Kluyveromyces lactis: one gene and its partners. The protein of the gene in region 4 interacts with the protein of the main gene of each other region in a biochemical or structural test. Links are inferred from orthologs where the notes say so. Each region holds a gene or a part of one and is shown on either strand. Other genes may lie near its edges. The genes, in order: PAM16, TIM13, COX4, TIM23, PAM17 and MGR2.

Region 1 (3,188 bases), about 700 kb from region 4:
GTACGATTTATTTGTCATTGGTTTTGGAAGAATCTTCTGTTGCATTGGAACACTGCTGTTGACACTTGGTACTATGGTATGTGGAGATTTAGAATTTGATTCTTCTGGTACGATAGGGAACTGACGTTTCAATTCCTGTAAGTTACCCACTAGATCGGTAAGCTCCTTCTTAAGCTTATTGTTTTCCATCTTAAGGATCTTGATCTCTTTCTTCAAAGCAGTTTTGGAACCTGGTTTTTTCTTTGGCTCCACGGGTTGTGCAGATTGAATATGATCTAAAGTAACATCCAGCTGTTCCATTTTCACCTGTGGCTTAACTTTTGCGCTTTCCATTTTAGCTGATGGCTTTAAGGTCGGAATTGGCATGACTTGTTTCTTGCAAGCAGCTGGTGCAATTTTGGCACGGATGGGCTTAGGCTGGGTATGAGTGATCGATGTTGTCTGTTCAACTTGTATTGCTTTTGACTTGGCGTTTGTAGATTTACAGTTAGTCAACGGGATAGTTGATGATGATGATGATGATGAGGAGCTTGCGGTTGGCACTCCTGTACGGACTGCAGTCGTTGTAGATGACGCTACTGTACCTTGATCAGAAGAAGAGCAACTTTTACCAGAATCAATAACAGTGGCAGCCAAGTGTTTTTTCGATCCCGGTCTCAAATTCTCAACTTCTTTCACTGATTCCACAGGTTCTTGTTTAATCTTGGCATTAGTACTTGAAGCAGAAGCAGGCGTAGTGGACTCTACAGCCATACCCTTGACATTTGCCAGTTGCTGCTTTATCGATAAAGAAGGACTGGGTTTTCTACCCGGTTTAGGCCTCGGTGGAAGAACCCAGTGCCTAGACGTTCGAATCGTGATCCCAGTGGGTTTCTCATGTTTCTTCGGCTGTAAATTAGGAGCAATTGTAATCTGCTGATGAGGCCCAGTGTGTCCGTGAAGGGGCTCCAATGAAACTGGCCTGGACATTAGTTAATTCTTACTCTGTGTCTGAAGTGCTTTTATTATAGAATTCTCTCCGGACCAGCGAAAACAATATTAACTGGTTCGGAACCGGAGCCGTAACCAGAGTTGCGAAGTATGCGTTTGAAAGTAGGATACAAAAACCTTACGGCGAGATGCAACCTAAATTAGTTTGAACCACCTGCGATACGATTGAATCACGCTTGTTGAGTCCTTGTGTGTCTGTTAGAACCTGTTTTAGTTTCGGAGAAGTCGTTTGTTTCGGTAGAATTAACTACTCAACTTTTCAATTTAAACCGAAATTGAGAGAGAGAGAGAGAGGGGGAACAATGGTAAAAATGAGGGCATGATACATCAAGACGAGCCATCATGAATTTATATATCTCAGGCCATAAGATAGTATGGCCTGAGTACTAAGAGGTATCTCAAGTTTGAAATGGGGATTGGGTGTTGAGTTGCTAATAATTGATCACGTGACCATGACCCCAGATACAAAGCCACGCTCCCAAACTGGATCCCCCCCCTCCTCCCCGTTACAGTACTACGCTAGTACTAGCATGCTGAATTCACATCCCCAATCAATGCAACAGCAGCGTAGCTGCTGTTGCTGGGATCACCTATCGTTTAATTTCTTGATACCTGCGTCGTTTCCGATGCCACATTCTACAATGTGGAATGAGAAGCTAAAACCTCATAAAAATACCCTATAAAAAGCCTGAATGAGCGAATGCAATTACAAACTCCATCTGTAGTCATTGTAGACTAGCTAAATCATTCTAATGAGGCATAGCTGTCAACCAGATATATAGTTATTTGACGGTGTCACAGCAAATATGTGGGGCTGGTCTTGACATCCCCGGGTAACCCCTTCTGTTTTCGAAAAGTCATCGAAAAGTTGAGAACAGAAAGAACTGGAACTAATAACAGCATTAAACACTAAACTACTCATCGGATTAACTTCTAAGCTTTGTCTAAGAACGCCGTTCCAGTTCGAGTAAACTGCGCATATCCAAGAAATACAACAAGACTATAGGATATGGCACACAGAGCGTTTATACAGGTGATTTTCACCGGGGCACAGGTGTTTGGACGTGCGTTTGCGGAATCTTACAGACAAGCAGCAGCTCAAACAGCTAAACAAACGGCAAATGCTTCTAGAGGCCGTGGTGCTAGCGCAGAATACGGAGGTATCACTTTAGATGAGAGTTCTAAGATTTTGAACATTGAGAATGAACAGGATATGAATTTGGATAAAATCAACGAAAGATTCAAGTATTTGTTCGAGATCAACGATAAAGAGAAAGGTGGATCATTCTACTTGCAGAGTAAGATTTACAGGGCAGCAGAGCGTTTGAAGTACGAGCTTGCTGAAAAGGAAAAGGCTGCCAATCCAGAACTGAATCAAGAACAAGCGAAGTCGAGTTCCACGACGGAGTCACCGGAGTTGAAAAAATAGCGTAAGGTCATTCTCTCTGGCCTAGTATAAGTTTTGTAAATAGTTCAAATAAACCGAAATACACGCATCGCATGCTCATCGTATCATGTTCAGCACAATATCATCAGTGGTTGATGAAGCTGATTTATGTCTACAACTAATTAATACAAAAATTCTCTAGAAGATGGGAAAACTGTTCCATCATGAAGAAGGGCACAACGGAGAGTGAAAATCCAAACTCTCAGGCAGCCATTACGCAAAGCCCTCTGGATCACATGCAACACCTGGAAGAACAACTAGAGCGAGCTGTTAAACCGCTTCTAATCATCACTTTCCAGACCTCTTCATAATGGTTAAAAGAAAGAAGTGATGCAAAAAACCGGGAAAAGGAAGAGACTTCCCCTCCCAACTCAATGCGCTTCCAACTTTATTGATCTAAGAAACCGGAAACGAAATGGAAACTGTGGCCAGCTTGTTTGGGGCTAGTCAGGATCCATTCAGCTATGGGTTAAAAAATGGTAACAGTCACTCTTCTCCAGTATTAACTAAAGCCGTTCCTAGATCTCCGAAGAAACCTAGGAAAAACTTCTTGAGAAAAGAGATAACCGAAACCGTAGGTTTCTATGGTGTATATGTGTATTAATATTATCTTGAGATAGTACTAACCACTACTGATGATTGGTTTATTAAGAACAAACATCAAAAAGATTTTCCAATCTTTGAACTGTAAGAGTGTTTGAAAGAGGTTCAAAGTGTTGAAAAATTTGCCACTTTTATACTATTGATCGGA
Region 2 (2,910 bases), about 830 kb from region 4:
GTGTATATAATTTTTCCATGAGTTTCGACTTTATTTATTCATATGATATTATTATAATCCACTATTAACTATTATGCTGCAAGGCCTATCAACATTAATATGACATTGGCGTTAAGATAGCGGGGTTATTTTCTGATTTATCATTGATGTGACCCCCAAGCACTGAAATTTGAATAACTGAACGCCTGGAACGCCTCAGAGATTCGATTCCCTGCTAGTTTGGTGAAAGAATTTTCACTTTCATTAGCGTTATTCAATTCATCTACAGCACTTACGATTTTCCTTACATTGGTCTCTATCACCAATCCACCTTGGATAATCTCTTCAAGTACACTTTCCAATGTTTGCCAATTGAAGATTAAGTCTAGCTCATTCACTTCTTCGAAACATTTATCCAATGCCTCTACAAACGTTTGAATCAAATCTAAGATTGCTAGTTCTGATTCTTGTTCATCAACTATAAATGTGAAGTATAACGTGGCGTAGTTCTTGTATATGATTTGAATATCTTCGTTATCACCTGAGTCCATTAATAAAGATGGAGGAGTTACTAAGAAAGATGACTGCACCTGACTGTTACGCTGAGATATAAGTTCATATACTTGCTGTAATAAAAGCGTTTGCTTTTCAACCTCTACAGGTGTATAAAATTTTATCAATCTTGGTTGACATTTCTTGTTAACTGTTGCATTTGGATCATCATTAAATGTTAGTAAAGCTTGATTTCTAGGGTATTGCTTGGTAACACTTTACATACATATTAATACTGCATGAATCATGACTGGCCGTTGCCAATTGGTCTGTGCTTGTCTGTTATCAAAGGCAAGTTATTGAACTACCTTGTTCAATGATATCTATCTACTATTCTTCGCAAAATATACTTGTAACTTCTCATCATCATTTTAACTTATTTCAATTGAATTGGCACTTTCGATTTTCAAATGTTGGATTCATGCTGAGAATTGTAAAGATGGGTTTTCTGTACAATAAAAGAAAACGAGTAAGAAACACATCGAGAGCCGTTAGTGAAACCTTACCGATACTATTGAATTTGCATTGAATGAATCGAAATGCTATAGTGGATTCAGTTTATGAAATAGGTAGCAACGCTTGATAAAAAAATTGAGTGCTCAATAAATTATTGAATAATGAAAAAGAATGCATCGGCCGGGAATCGAACCCGGGGCCCAACGATGGCAACGTTGGATTTTACCACTAAACCACCGATGCCTAGTATTTGTTGATGTCTGTTGTACTAAGTTTGGGGTACAGTAACGTAATGATAATCATGCGACTACATATATGCTCCGTGTGACAAGTACTTGGACAGTGGTTCATATTAGTAAGTAAATCACTCTGGGGAACTTCCAAACATATCTTCCAATAACGCGGTAAATCGCAGGAAAGGAGAGGTTGTGAAACGGGCTGAAACAATAGTTATCTATCCCTTCCATTGCTGCTCGATGTGAAGGAATGTTTCTTCCTCATATTGAAAAAAAAAACTAATGATTTGAAGCTTTAGCATAAACTGAAATATCCATTGGCAATCTACAATTAACAGCTATAATCTATCATCCAGGCCCCTCTGAACATTGCATCGGATCAATAATCTATCATAGAACACATTAAGATATGGCTTTAACTTCGATCTTTGGTGGTAGCTCTTCATCATCTGGTACCCCAGCCACATCCAGTCCTAGCGATGTCAAGACCCAACTTAAATCTCAAATCTCTCAAGAATTAGCCATCGCCAATGCTACCGAGTTAGTTAACAAAGTCACTGAGAACTGTTTTGAGAAATGTCTGAATGCTCCATATGCTGCTTCTCAAGATAACTGCGTCGACCAATGTTTGGCTAAATATATGAGAAGTTGGAATGCCATTTCAAAGGCTTACATTAACAGAATTCAGCAAGCTTCGGTTAACGGTGAAATCTAAGGGGCGCAACTTTTGAGATAAAAGAAGTTATTTAATGCTCTGATTCATTACAAGCTACATGTATATAGATTTGTATAATGTTATATTCGCGTCTTACGTATAATCATACATTATGAATGCTATTTCATACCCGTCGAATAAATTCAGGTATATATATATAAACAAAAGTACGGTATTGGTACACAAATAATGGGTAATTCTTTTTTATTATCGTATAGACATGATTAATACACAGAAACAGCACAAACAATACATTGTATTTAAATACAATTGAGCCGCATATGTGATTGATTGATGAGATTTCAAATAAGTGAGTTGAAAATAAATAGGAGTAGAGGGAAAAACAGCTAACAACAAATAAGATGAACATCAATGCGCAGATATTCACGCTTTATGGTCATATATGTTTTACCCTTTTTATCTCTTGAATCGAGTGAGATTCCGATAGCGAAAAGGATGAATGTTATGAAAATCTGAGAACATCATTCCAAAGTTGATGTCCTAGGCCTGGTAGACGTATGGAGTGCCGGATAGATAAATGTTTCCCGACAGTAGCGTATCCACATTTTTAAAATATGTTTTGAAGTGACGGTATATTCTAAGAAGTAAAATAATTGAACAAAAGCATCAATGAAAAGACACTTAAAAGTATAATGATGAGAAATGATATAATTCAAATGTCAAAAGAAACTTATTCATCGTCTTCTTCATCTTCTTCACCACCGTTCATGATACCACCCTTGATATCTTTCCATAACTTACCTTTGTTGTGGTTTTCGTACCAAGAGGTCACACCAGTATCGAAGGCAGCTTGGAAAACGAAGGCAGAGGCGAACACGGTACCAACGAAAACAGAGTTTCTCTTAAAGACAGTTTTGTACAGAGTAGAGGCGAAAGACTGTGATAATTAAGTTGTTCAGAAAAATAATTGTTAGTAATATGATCTAATATTTCATGTAGTCAATCCGCAAT
Region 3 (3,298 bases), on a different chromosome or scaffold from region 4:
TACACAGGCATGTATGTCTCTAGAAGGGGCCATTCCCAGACAGGAGCGGAGTATTCCCTAGATAAATTGGTAAATTTGGAATTTCCTAATACGTTAAATTACACTTTTCTTTCGCTTCAACTGTTTGGGAGAAACTTTTTTAATATTTGAGTATGTATGGGTGTACATTTTTTTGTTTTTCCTTTTATCATCAACACCACTTCGAAACAGTCCCTGAAAATGAACAAACCCTTAAAGTGCCGATAAGTCCATCTATCATTGGGGTAATTCCCCTTCATAGATGATATACATATAATCTGAAAAGGTTGCTTTGCAACTACTAAGTGTTTTGAATATTCGGTAATTACTTCTGTATCGGTAATTGTCATACTGACCCTCGGTGTCACCTTGAAACAAAGACTTTTTTTTTTGAAATTTTATTGATAAAATCGTACTTAATTTAAATAATGAGTTCTTACCTGTGAAATGTAGTATGTAGAGAAACAATGTGTAACATAAGTCTTTAATTGGTTTAAACGATCCGGGGGGGGAAAGAAATAGAGGCAATTGGTATAAAATATGAATCAATCATTCTTTTAAAATTCAATAGATCTGGCCTGTTCCCCGCTTTCCAAACATATAAACAAATCTTGATTATGTGCAGGACCAGTTCAAGTATATGTCCCCACTAAACTTTTTGTGTAATTTGTTGCTTCAGCTTGTGTAATTTATTATTTTGTAATATTTTAGAATAGGTTTGTGTATTTGACATTTGTATTGGAATTTTTAGAATGATATAGTGGTACACTGGTTGTTAATCCTTTTTTTACCAGGATAAGTGGGAATGATATGGAAGGAAGGATTAAAATGCTTAATGGTGACCTTCTTGAGGAACACCGACCATCTTAAGCTTGTATACACAACCGGTTTCCCAACATCTGGCGACTTGACCGTCGGTTGGCTTCAACCACATGACGTTGTGAGAACCAGCTGGGGAACCAGTGGCACCGACATAACGGTAGTCATCGTAGGATTCAACAATGATTGGGTTTTCCATGGTACCGATTCTGGAAGAGTCCAATGGCTTGGTGTCGAAAACTTCGATACCTTCCAATTTACCCAACAATTCCAATCTGGCTAAACCAGTGGCTTGGTCCAATTCGGTTGGAACTTCACCGTCTTTGGCACCAGGACCAATCAAAGTGTCAGCACCGTTAACTTCAGCCAACTTGGTAGCAGTCTTAACAACTTGTTGATCACCTGCAACCTTGGTGGTAGCAAAAGCTCTGGATGCTGGGCCGAACAACTTCGATAGGGATTGACGTAGAGACAACATTATTTCTTCTTTGTGATTGGATTGATAGGTGATAACTTAGATACTCCGATGTGTGAATCTAAAACGATGGAACAAAGGTATATTTGAATTGTAATGAACTAATCAATTAGCAATATATGACAAAAAGAACCACTTGGATACTGTAAGCTAGCTGAGACAGATAAGGTGATCAGTTGAATATATTCGCAAATGAAAGTAATCGGCGAAAGAAAACCCTCTGAAACAAACGTATGACTCTCTTGAACAAACTTGATAAAACGTCTTTAGCTACTTTCTAAAACTCTGAAATCACTGTTGAAAATATTATTCATATATATACATTCGGTTCCAATATCCTGCGAAAATCAAGAAATGAAAATTATCGCTTATAACAAAAAACGTACAAAAATCACATCATGTTTCCCAGTATGATTGGAGCAGGGAGAAGAAGGAAAGATACAAAAAAGGTGTCTACTCGTACATAGTGATGTACACATTTTTTAGCTGGAGTAGTCTTTCGTATTTGTTTCTATTTTGTTTCCGGCGAGAGTAGGATCTAGTGTGGGTGTTGTCAATTGAGTGAGAATTCTGCGATATGGTTGGCTAGAGGTCATGTGATTTATATAGGCAATGCCATGCCATTAATATTAAAGAGATTATTCATTTGATCTGGCGCGCGTCGCGTGACAGGTTATATACATATATGTGTGTACATATATGTGTGTTTCTATTATATGTGTATAATGTCAGATAATGGGGAAAATGGTTCACCTGCCAAATTTCTTCAGTTCGCAGTACCTTAGTGGTGGATATGATACTCCTGCGAAACCCATACCGAGCCACATACCTAAATCTCCGCCATACTCGCCAATCTTTGCGGCAAGTGGCCCCACGTAATACGTTTGACACATTCCAAGTACCACACCAGCAACACCGATGCAGAACGCAGCGGATGCAGCCAATCCTCTTGTGATGACTTCAGAGTTGTCCCATTCATCCCAGTTGTACCTGTGGATGTGCCTTGGTAATTTCCTTAGTTTATGATGTGGTTTCACTTCTATGTCATTGGGGAATTCCAATTTATATAGATGGTGGAACCAGTTTCTAAAGATGACGTTCTCTTCCACGAGTAAGATGAAGTACATGCTAATCCAGTAACCAATCATAGGTAGGAAATTTCCCAAGATGGTGGAAAAACTGTTTCTACCTACTAGCGCACATACGAGGTAAAAGATGGTACATCCGATAGCCCAGATCCAACGAGGCACCTTGGCTAACATCACACTTGATAATTGGATGGAGAATGCTGCAGAGTATGTGTTAACAATATTATTCGAGATTAAAGATAAGATCAATACAACGACCAAAAATTTCCCAAATCCATTCCAACGAGAGAAACCAGCATTCATGAGACCACCCATCCCATATTCATCATATGCAGCTTGCCAAGGTTCGTAGGACAGTGAACATGATGCCAGTAGAAGACCCAATACACCAACGAAAGTGGTTGGTACCGCAGTTCCGAAAAATGTCAATAAGAAGACTTGAATCTGAGGAGTGTCCTCGGGGAACAAGATATAGTAATCTGCTGTGATGGAACCCCAAGTTGATGTGATACTGTAACACAAAGAAAAGAAGGATAACCAGCAACCTTTCACAGTCAGTGAATCAATGTCACTATTACTGAATTCGTACAAGTACTTGAACTTGTCACTTGCTGAGATGTACAACAACAGGAAACTAGTTAGCACGGGCACTGCAAACAGAGTCTCTACTTTTAAAACCTGCTTGATACCAAAAATGGAAACAAGCAACGATACCACAGTAACAATGATAATACCAACCCAAAGTGGAACCTTACCGTCACTAACACTAGCTAGCATTTGTCCTCCAACAACACAGTTCACAATGGACCAGCCCATAACACCGACAATCGCAGCCAAGGCAATAAATTTCACAAACCACCAACCGAACAGATAACGAGCAGTAACTATTTGTCTACAA
Region 4 (3,500 bases):
ACTTGAAATTTCATAGCACTATTTTTTTTTTGGGAAAGAAAAAGTTTGAAAACTTGTTGGGATCGTTGTTGGATTTTTGTTTTTCTGTAGAACATTTCATAAAGATCCCATAAGTTCATACTATCCGTGGTCGTTCAAGATGATTCATGTACCAACAATTTGGTACACGTCACGTTGACAGCAACGGTATGCAACAGAATTTAGGATAAGAAGTGTGTTATATCTGGGCAGATAATAGCAATTAACCGCAATGCGCTTGGTTTTAGACTGAAAGAACGTTTGGCGTTTTAAGGGAACAAATCTTTGAATGAAGGAAATGGAGTAGTTGTATTCGGTTGATATACAGCGGTTATTTATGTGAAAGCTGCAACGATTGGATTTTAGAATAGATTAGCGATAGATGAGGGTTTGAGATCACGTGACTTGCGGTTTCTTGTGGTTTGCGACTACAAGACGTCAGAAAAAAAAAAGCGGAAATAGTATAAACTGACTGACATGAGAGAAAGATAGTTAAGTTATAGACAAATTGTTACAACGGTATAGAAAAAAGCGTTAAGCATACAAGGGGTGAGCAGCTGTTGGAATGAAAATTTAGATTGATAGAAATCATTTCGCATTTTGTATTCCAGCTTCCTTAATTTTCTTCAATAGGAACTCGTCGTAACCGACTCTCATTTGGTTCACCTTCTTCAACTCGCAGTGGTGCAACTTCGTATCCTCTTTCTTAGTATTGTATAGATCAAATCCAAGCGTCACTGAGACTTCGGAGTCAATCTCCTCTAATATTCTGATCCATTTGTGTCGCAACAACACTTTTTCGGACTCGAACAAATCAAATTGGACTCTAGCACTACGTTCTGCCATTTTTTGTTTGTATTTCAATCACTGGGTGAAACTTTTCGTCATAAAGCGGGTTAACAGCTTGTGTTTTATCGTGTAATCACAGTGTAACAAATCATCAGAGAATGAAAATTGATGATTCTCTAAATTATTCATCGGAGTTTTTCTGAGGGGCAGACTGACATATGTTCCAGCGTCCTTTTCATGTAAAACTGCACTCTTTATATTAAATTTATGTTTATTCAAAAGTGTGAAGCCTTGAAATGCGTTAGTGCATGTATGCTACCTTAGTATCTGAAATGCTTTCACAAATTATCCCAGGCGATTTTAAAAAAAAACATTAGCGACAGTACATTGATATGAAAGGTTTATACGGATCCCTTTATATATATATACTGGTTTGAAAATGTATAATTTCAGAAAAGTCGTTTCCTAACAAATCCCCAATTTTCCTTTGTATTCTTTGTACGAATTTAAGGGCAATGCGCTCCTTTTTACAGATTTCTATCAATCTGCGTAGGTAAAGTTTCATCCAAAGATACCTCAGTTGATATCTGTTTGGAAACCCAGTGATAACTTTTGCAATGTCGTGTGAAATAACATTGTCTCATGGCGGGCGTCAGTTTTAAATATTTTTTTTGTCGCTAGAAATGCTAAATGAAATGACAAATTTTTTTCTCTCTGTTTACCCTTCGCTGCGCTCAAAACAGAGGTCAGCTACATCTGCAGAACGGTTCCGGTTACATGAATCATCATTTTGTACGATTCGTTGATTTTACCTTGAATGGTCTTGAAATCACAGAGTCTCTTGTGAAGCAAGAAGAAACAAGAGGAAGAAAAAAAAAACCGTAGTTCTTGAAATATTTTGAAATTTTGAAAAATTAGTGAAATATAATTTTACAATCGAAAAGTGTTTAAAGTAGTAGTATGATACGTTGAATCACCCTCGAAGGTTTGAGTTGTAGATACTAAGACAAAGACATCTTTTCCGTATTGGTATTTTGCTAGGTTACCATTGCATTTCAGTCTATCAAGGCAATACTCCGATAAATACAGGGCTTCATTATTGTCGAATACGGACCGGGTCTAATCTCTTCCTGATTTTTCATCCTTTGACCGATACCATATAAACTAAGGCTAATAATAATAATAATAAAGTATAGCTATGTCTTGGCTCTTCGGTGGTAAGAAGTCATCTACAGACTCACAAGAAAATACTACACCAGTTGAACAAAATGATGATAAACTGAAACAAACTCTAGGATTCGATCCATCATCAATTTCGAATGTGTCGAACGTTATTTCTGTTCCAGGAGGATTAAGTCCATCACAGCTTCACCCATTAGCAGGGCTAGAGCGTGGTGTTGAGTATATGGATTTGGAAGAAGAACAGCTTTCTTCAATGGAAGGTTCTCAAGGTTTGATTCCATCTAGAGGTTGGACAGACGATTTATGTTACGGTACTGGTGCTGTATACTTGGTTGGTTTAGGTCTTGGTGGTTCTTATGGGTTCATTGAAGGGTTGAAGAACATCCCACCTAACTCACCAGGTAAATTGCAATTGAATACAGTATTAAACCATATCACAAGAAGAGGTCCATTTTTGGGTAACAATGCTGGTGTGTTGGCCTTAACTTACAACTTGATCAACTCAGTGATCGATTCTTTCAGAGGTAAGCATGATGTTGCTGGCTCAGTGGCAGCTGGTGCTTTAACTGGTGCTATTTTCAGATCTTCTAGAGGATTGAAACCAATGGGTTACGCATCCGCTTTGATGGCTGCTGCTGCTGCAGGATGGTGCGGTATCAAGTCTGTAATCTTATAAGTTGAAAGAAAGAAAAGGATAAACCTGTGGATATATAAACACACGATAAACTTTTTTTTTCGTTTCCTTTCATTCTACACTACTATTACATTGGGTCTTAGAAATGGTTTGCATGAGGATCCTGTTTCAAATGTGAAATATGCCCCTAATGTCTCGTATTTACTGACCGCCCATTTCATCCAATTTTATCTTACGTTTGCATGTTGAATTCCCCTTTCGTATAATGTACAATATGATGACAATTTTAGCAAATTCATGCTATGTTCCACCACAGCACCATTCTCGCCATGCATGTTTTCCTACTCCATTACCATTTTCTACACCATTCTTGAGACTGTCGATATCTGAAATCAAGCATCAAAGAGTGAGCTAGAAATAAAGCAGCAGCTTGTTTAGAGATACATGGTCTTGTATATATTTTAATAAAGTCATCTTTCGTCAATATTTTTCTTTTCTATTATCTGCCTCTCCAGGCGGGCCTTGCTGGTACTCTAGCAATTATAACAAATTATAACAGCATTTGTGACGAACTTACAACGAAATGGTCTAACGAAGGAAGACACTTCATCACTAGTTTGCTCATAAATTAATATCATGTGAATAAAAGGGCATGTGTCTTCCTGAAACGAAACGAAACGAAACGAAACGATTTCTTGCTCTAAAACGAAAACAAAGTGTATATTATGTATGTCAATATATTAAGAATTGTTACTCACTTTTTTTAGGAACTTACTCAATCGTGGTTTAAGTATCTTTCTATCATGTGTTACTAGATTAATCATCTCGCCACTTGGCGGTTTCACTCGACTTGTAGCTTGCTTTAACTGATCCATGA
Region 5 (3,439 bases), on a different chromosome or scaffold from region 4:
AGTGATGATATATTATCCGAAGAAGCGTGGCTTGATTTAGATATTGGCGAGTACCATGTGGTGAATGACCCATTGGTATTGAGTTCTAGTAGCGACGACGATGAAATGGAACAGGAGGACCCCACTAGAAGGATCGAACGCTGGATGAGCACGAATGCAGTGGTACGAATGCAAACTCCCGATATTGCTTCTGTTGATGACGATTACTACCAAGATTATAGCTCTAATAGTTCGGATGCCGTTTGTCTAGTGGTGCCGTACCTTTCGGAGAAACTCTCTTGTTTGACGGAATACCAGTTGAGATGGGTTCACGATTTTGTCGCGGAAATGTTACCGCTGCTACCCAGGAAATCCGTGTCTCCTGTGTCATCTGTCTCGACATCTTCCTCATCGTCTGAGATCTCTTTTAAATCGTCCAGAAACGAAAAGTACAGATTGCCAAGGGTTATAGTCTGAGTAAAGATAACGCTTGACAATCACTGGGCCTTATAGTTCCCAGAAATAGTCATTACGTTTAACGGCAGGTCCGTTAATCTGGTTGGTGAATATCCGTATTCCACGTTAACCTGTGTCAACAGCTGTGATGCGGTAAAATCTATACGAACATGCGGTGGCCCAATTGCTTGAGATGTGACAACATCGGTTCGTTGTCCACCTTTATATCTCAAAATCAGAATCTGATCCTGTTCCAGCATGGGCAGATCCCATTGGATGGTACCATCCACTTGGTTATAAAATCCAGTAGGTTTAGATAAAATATCTTGGGCCTTGGTGCCTATCTTTATACAAACTTTCAATAGTGTATAATTGACAGGAATTAAAGGTCTTAAATTGATCATTGAGATGATCTCGGCCTCTTTGAACTGCCATACGGGTGTCACTAGAATCGGACATTGAACCTGTGGTAAATTTGTCACTGCATATTTCACTAATCCTGTAACCACGTTGTCCCATTCGCGTTCACGTTTCAATTTGTATATATTCTGAACCACATCCACTGGCTCCAGGAATGTGTCGTTAATCTTAACGGAACTAACATTATTGAATTTCATATACAAATCACTCGTTCTTTGATCCCACTTGGTACCATTGATGGCAACTTCGCCAACAAGTGATACGTTCGTTATATTATCGTCTGTGATAACACATGACAAAGTCTCTACTATATCACCATTAATCTCTGGTAATGGTGGTGACTCTGAATCTGGTCCTGATTCTCTCAATTTCAGTATATTCTCCCTCTCCTGTAACTGTAGCAGTAATTCCTTGGATCTGACAAGTTCCTGGGACACTTCAGAGAACAATTCACTATTACTATCGAATTTTGTCTCTTTGAGTTCTTCTAGCGATTGAATATAGCCCTGCACTATTTCTGCAAAAGCTAGAACATCAGACATTATAACAGAAAGACTTACTTTTTGAGACGTGCAAGGCAAACAATATAACCTATAACTATAATAGACAGCTTTAGAATAGTGAAAGTATCATGCAATGATGAACGGACGTAACATATATCTGTATCAAATGAAGATCTATTCGAGATATAACACCATTTGATCAAGAGATTGGAAAAAGCGGTACTTTCATTACCCGGACGTGGATATTGAAGCTTGTCAATTCCAAAAAAAAGTTTGGAAAGCTACCAAATGAGCTTATAACATGATTTCAATAAGGAATGTTCGAGGGGTGGATCCAGATCACCTGTTTGAACTAGCATCAAACAGCCAATTCTTCTGCTGTGTTACTCGATAAGTAGTATACTCGGATATCAGAGGCAATAAGAACCAAATACCACGGAAAAATAGCCCAAACTATGTTGAGACTAGGAATCAATCTACAGAACCGTCTTTTGGTTGGACTAAATGGACAATCTCTTTTGAAAAGAGCCGTTACACGCAATGCCGTTGCCATCAGAATGAATAGCACTAATGCTGGTAAGACAGCTTCTCATGAAATGACATGGCCAGAATTCTTCAAGCTACGTAAAAAAGAACGTGTTTTCAACACGGCTTCTTCGGTTGCGACAGCCATAGTATTCGTTAACGGTTCGTGGTTTTACTTCTCCACTTTGGAAATCGATCCAACTCAAACAATCTTTGGATTCGATCCACTAATGGCAATTACTGCTGGTATGATCACATGTGCTGCTGTTGGTTGGTTATTGGGACCAATTGTGGGTACTGCATTGTTTAAGGCCACTTCCGGTCCCAAATTATTACAGTTTCAAGAGAAGCAACTTTCATTTTTGGCCAAAATCCAAAAGAACAGAGTCAATCCTCAATCACAATCTTTCAGTAACCCTGTGCCGGATTACTACGGTGAAAAGATTAATTCGATACCACAGTACAGACAATGGCTAAGAGATTGTCATTCTTACAAAAGAAAGGCTAGTGAGTTCTTGTGAAGCGGAAAAATACCAGAAAAAGTATGATGACTATCACTCTCCCACCCAAGGAAACGCCTTTCCGTAAGTACAAGTAAATAGTAAATAATAAATAGTGGTTGATATCTAAAGAAACATTCGTTAAATCAGCATTAGCAATTGCGTAATGGTATATGCCAGAGAAACCGGAATGAAAAGGATCGATACCCAACAAAAAAAAGTATATTTGGATGCGGCGAGGTTCGAACTCGCGCCTGTTAACATTAACAGACCTGCATATTCCGGGTAACCGTGTCCGTCACTCGCAATCCACTTCTGCTCTACCCGCACCCAATAGCCGCCAAGCAATCAGTGAAGATTTTCTGGAGGACCCACAAATTTTTGATTTTCGGACCAGGCCCCTTACAACTCGCACAAAACTGCGTAGAAAACCTCTGTTTAAAGGTTTAAGGAAACGGCTATCGCAATTTTCTTGGCCCCCCCAAAGGTAAAGCAGAATGTGTCAATTGGAAAGCGACGGAGACGGTTTTGATGCCGCATTGAGTCCGCATGCTCATTTCTTGTCCCTGAAGCAGGCGCCTTAACCACTCGGCCACACACCCAGTTCTTATACTGTTAGTAGTTCAACTAAATTGGGAGTAGTTCTTCATTTCAATTTATTATATTCCAGCGCAGTGTAGCCCCTTTATTAACTGGGTTAACTGGGTTTCTTCGATAATCTACCGGTTGAATATGGGTCTATTTACCCCAGTTATATACCATAAAATGGCTCTCTGGAAGTTCTTCTTCAAGGTACCCGGCTGTTCTGTCTGTTCTTTTCATTGATGTCGCGGGTTTGATTGAGGAAAGGAACGCATAACGGATTTCCGTACAATGTGATCTTCATTTCTACTCACGTGACTTTGATTTCAATTTCTTGGAATTCGAAACTTCACTTCCGTTCGTTCTTTGCCAGGAATTCATTACCCTTTAACATGCCTACCTTATGCTTGAATACAATAGCCCAGTCATTCGATTCTTATTGCCGGCTTCTACCATCAAAAACACTAAACTTCT
Region 6 (2,894 bases), on a different chromosome or scaffold from region 4:
CCTGCTTGACCTTTTAGAATTTTTATCTGAAGATACCGAAGAATTGTGTGCTTCGTTCAATGCAGCTAGTTCGCTTTCCAACTGGTGCACTTTATGCGTATATTCGAGTTCTTTTTCCTCGTAATCTAATTTCCACCATACATAATGACAAGAAAGATATACGATAGAACCCATTAGTAGAAAGATCCATGCTGGCCTAACAAACTTCTTGAGAGAAGTCTCCTGTGTCTTCTGTTCTTCTGCCTGTAACTGTTTCAACATCTGTAGTTCGTTCTTAATATTAAGCTCGTTAGTCTTGTCATTGATTAACTTACTAATTAACTTAGGATCCACGTTATCGAGTGATTGAAGCTTGGCAAGATCTTCTAGAGTCCTGATCTCTATATGGGCATTACTGTTATTAGCAGCCGCTAGAAAACGGCGAGTTACGACTCTTTTCACCAACGGTCTGAACATTATTGTTCTACTATCTATGTCAACTTCTTCCAAATAGAAAAAACGGTACGAATATACCAAAGTGTGTGTTTACACCGTTCACTAACTGCAATGGAAACAAATTCTGAAGCTCGCAGTATGCCTTTGTGATCCCTACGTGTGTACTGTAATCTCCCCAGGTTCTTTACTTCATCAGCTCCTCTCGAAAAATTGATCATCTTAAATTCCTATTTACAATATTCATTTTACTTAAAAATATACCGAGAGGACAGAAATAGAGTAGATACGAAAAGATTAGTAGGTACCGCTGCCTCTGACCCATGTACAATTGCTGGGTAAAAACGCTTAATCCTTGTACAAACCATAAGTTTGTTTAGCTTTCCATACTTCAAATCTTGATCTCTGTTGCAATTCGGCCATCTTACTATGGTAGAAACCATTGTTGTGGGAGTTGTCGGAAGTTCCATCACTTCTAATGACAGAACCGATACTCATAAATAGGCCAAAAGTGGCAGCAGAACCAGCGATGTACTGCCCTAAGGTTCTCACAAACCCGTTTGGACCTGGGCCTTGTGTAACAATGGCAACACCACCGAATAAGATGCCAGTACAAACACCAACGGTAGTACCCATCATCAAACCCATCTTGAACTTTTCCCAGTTCGAAGGTTGTTGTTGTTGGCCGTAAACTTTTGGTGGTGGTGGCATTTCTGGTTCAAGTCGTGGTTCGTGTTATCTGTGCGCGCGTTAGTCTTGGATGTCTGGAAAGAGAGCGAGACCCTGGTTAATTCCGTTACGTTTTGTGGAGTTGGTCGTTCATACATTTGGTACAGTAATTTGATTCTTTTTTCTAGTTTGAAAACTTCGAAAATTTCGATTCGAGTCCGATTTGATGTGACTTTGAAGTTCAGACGAGAAAACTGCCTAAAGGTCAGTCTTGGACAGCGCCATTGGCCGTAGTAGGTTGTTAAAGCTTTATCTTTTTTAATATATACTAACAGTTGATCTTTCTGCTTTGAAAGCTTCGAAGTTGCAATGATATTTGGGAGGTTGCTTGTGAGAAATTTGGCAACGAAATGCGATGTATTGCAGGTTCTTCGAGAGAGAGGGTTGGTTCAGCAGGTTTCACAGCCGGAGAAGTTATTGTCTGAGAAACTGAGTAATGGTGATAAGATCAAACTATATTGTGGAGCAGATCCCACTGCGAAATCTTTGCATTTGGGTAATTTACTGCCCTTAATGGTTCTTTTGAACTTTTATGTGAGAGGGCATGACGTCGTTTCGTTAATTGGTGGGGCCACCGGCAAAGTTGGTGACCCAAGTGGGAGGAAAACTGAGAGGGATGTTATCGCTGAAGCAAAGAGACAAGGGAACATTGAAAGGATTGTGGAACAGTACAAGACATTTTTCACGAATGGATTGAAATACTACGAGTCTAGGATTAAGGAAAGAGATGCACCAGGTAAGGTCACCTATCTAAACAATATTTCGTGGTGGCAGGATGTTAAGATGTTAGATTTCCTTGCTACTTACGGTAAACATATTCGTATACAGAACATGTTGAGTCGTGATTCCGTTTCTTCGAGATTGCAAAGTCAAGATGGTATTGGTTTCAACGAATTCACGTATCAGATCTTACAAGCATACGATTTCTACCATTTGTACTCAAATGAACAAGTGTCCATCCAAGTTGGTGGTAACGATCAATGGGGTAATATTACAGCGGGTATCGATCTTATCAACAGAATTTCTCCCCAGCATGTGAAGACTCGTCCAGCTTTTGGTTTAACGGTGCCCTTATTGACGACCTCCACTGGAGAAAAATTCGGTAAATCGGCGGGTAATGCAGTATTCATTGACCCTGAAATCAATACCTCCTATGATATGTATCAGTTCTTCGTGAATACTACTGATGCAGATGTGGCAAAGCAATTGAAGATCTTTACTCTGTTACCGTTGGAATTAATTGAAGACATCATGGCTCAACACGCACTATCGCCAAATGAAAGATACGCTCAAAAAAGGTTAGCTAAAGAAGTTGTGGATCTGATTCATGGAATTGGTAAAGGTGACGATGCAGAGTTTGTATCGCGAATTTTATTTGGTGGTTCAGGTTTTGAAAACGTTAAGGCAGCTGAACTGATCAGAGTCTTCGATGAGAATAGAATTTTGAACAAGATACCGATCAATACGCCATTGTCTGATATTGTGTGTCAATTGATCGATTGTTCAAAGACTGAGTCCAGGAGGAGAATCAAACAAGGATCCATCTATCTAGGACCAAATAAGAACAAAGTAGTGGATGACACCACAAACTTTAGCCCGTTTTTGATAGATGAAAGGGTGCTTTTGTTGAGGGTTGGTAAACAAAAATGCTATGTCATTGAATGCATATGATAATACAACTGCGGTTACACAAATAAGAATAAGGCATTCCTTTGTAAATAGGTATATAAAGT

The links.
Region 1: the proteins of TIM23 (region 4) and PAM16 form a complex in vitro, tested with the Saccharomyces cerevisiae proteins (2 studies listed by BioGRID). The link is inferred for Kluyveromyces lactis from reciprocal best matches to the Saccharomyces cerevisiae genes TIM23 and PAM16.
Region 2: the proteins of TIM23 (region 4) and TIM13 interact in a test that uses a peptide from one of them, tested with the Saccharomyces cerevisiae proteins (2 studies listed by BioGRID, with this or other methods). The link is inferred for Kluyveromyces lactis from reciprocal best matches to the Saccharomyces cerevisiae genes TIM23 and TIM13.
Region 3: the proteins of TIM23 (region 4) and COX4 are reported together in a solved structure, tested with the Saccharomyces cerevisiae proteins (2 studies listed by BioGRID, with this or other methods). The link is inferred for Kluyveromyces lactis from reciprocal best matches to the Saccharomyces cerevisiae genes TIM23 and COX4.
Region 5: the proteins of TIM23 (region 4) and PAM17 form a complex in vitro, tested with the Saccharomyces cerevisiae proteins (2 studies listed by BioGRID). The link is inferred for Kluyveromyces lactis from reciprocal best matches to the Saccharomyces cerevisiae genes TIM23 and PAM17.
Region 6: the proteins of TIM23 (region 4) and MGR2 form a complex in vitro, tested with the Saccharomyces cerevisiae proteins (2 studies listed by BioGRID). The link is inferred for Kluyveromyces lactis from reciprocal best matches to the Saccharomyces cerevisiae genes TIM23 and MGR2.

What each region holds. Positions count from the first base shown.
Region 1 is NC_006042.1:1,282,279-1,285,466, forward strand, and holds PAM16 (import motor complex subunit PAM16), read left to right. Parts: upstream 1-1,999; coding exon 2,000-2,419; downstream 2,420-3,188. Other genes in the region: transcription factor HAP4, read right to left, coding at 1-969. UniProt on the Saccharomyces cerevisiae protein: Essential component of the PAM complex, a complex required for the translocation of transit peptide-containing proteins from the inner membrane into the mitochondrial matrix in an ATP-dependent manner.
Region 2 is NC_006042.1:1,406,658-1,409,567, forward strand, and holds TIM13 (protein translocase subunit TIM13), read left to right. Parts: upstream 1-1,632; coding exon 1,633-1,938; downstream 1,939-2,910. Other genes in the region: APS3 (Aps3p), read right to left, coding at 141-682, 758-779; QCR9 (ubiquinol--cytochrome-c reductase subunit 9), read right to left, coding at 2,630-2,836.
Region 3 is NC_006040.1:436,670-439,967, reverse strand, and holds COX4 (cytochrome c oxidase subunit IV), read right to left. Parts: upstream 1,316-3,298; coding exon 851-1,315; downstream 1-850. Other genes in the region: TPN1 (Tpn1p), read right to left, coding at 2,062-3,298. UniProt on the Saccharomyces cerevisiae protein: Component of the cytochrome c oxidase, the last enzyme in the mitochondrial electron transport chain which drives oxidative phosphorylation.
Region 4 is NC_006042.1:578,077-581,576, reverse strand, and holds TIM23 (protein transporter TIM23), read left to right. Parts: upstream 1-2,005; coding exon 2,006-2,665; downstream 2,666-3,500. Other genes in the region: KLLA0_F06061g (uncharacterized protein), read right to left, coding at 607-864; RRT12 (Rrt12p), read right to left, coding at 3,364-3,500. UniProt on the Saccharomyces cerevisiae protein: Essential component of the TIM23 complex, a complex that mediates the translocation of transit peptide-containing proteins across the mitochondrial inner membrane.
Region 5 is NC_006037.1:561,105-564,543, reverse strand, and holds PAM17 (Pam17p), read left to right. Parts: upstream 1-1,813; coding exon 1,814-2,404; downstream 2,405-3,439. Other genes in the region: KLLA0_A06127g (uncharacterized protein), read left to right, coding at 1-456; SYP1 (Syp1p), read right to left, coding at 477-1,397. UniProt on the Saccharomyces cerevisiae protein: Component of the PAM complex, a complex required for the translocation of transit peptide-containing proteins from the inner membrane into the mitochondrial matrix in an ATP-dependent manner.
Region 6 is NC_006041.1:2,160,561-2,163,454, reverse strand, and holds MGR2 (Mgr2p), read right to left. Parts: upstream 1,144-2,894; coding exon 781-1,143; downstream 1-780. Other genes in the region: INA17 (Ina17p), read right to left, coding at 1-456; tyrosine--tRNA ligase MSY1, read left to right, coding at 1,471-2,832. UniProt on the Saccharomyces cerevisiae protein: Required for cell viability in cells lacking mitochondrial DNA.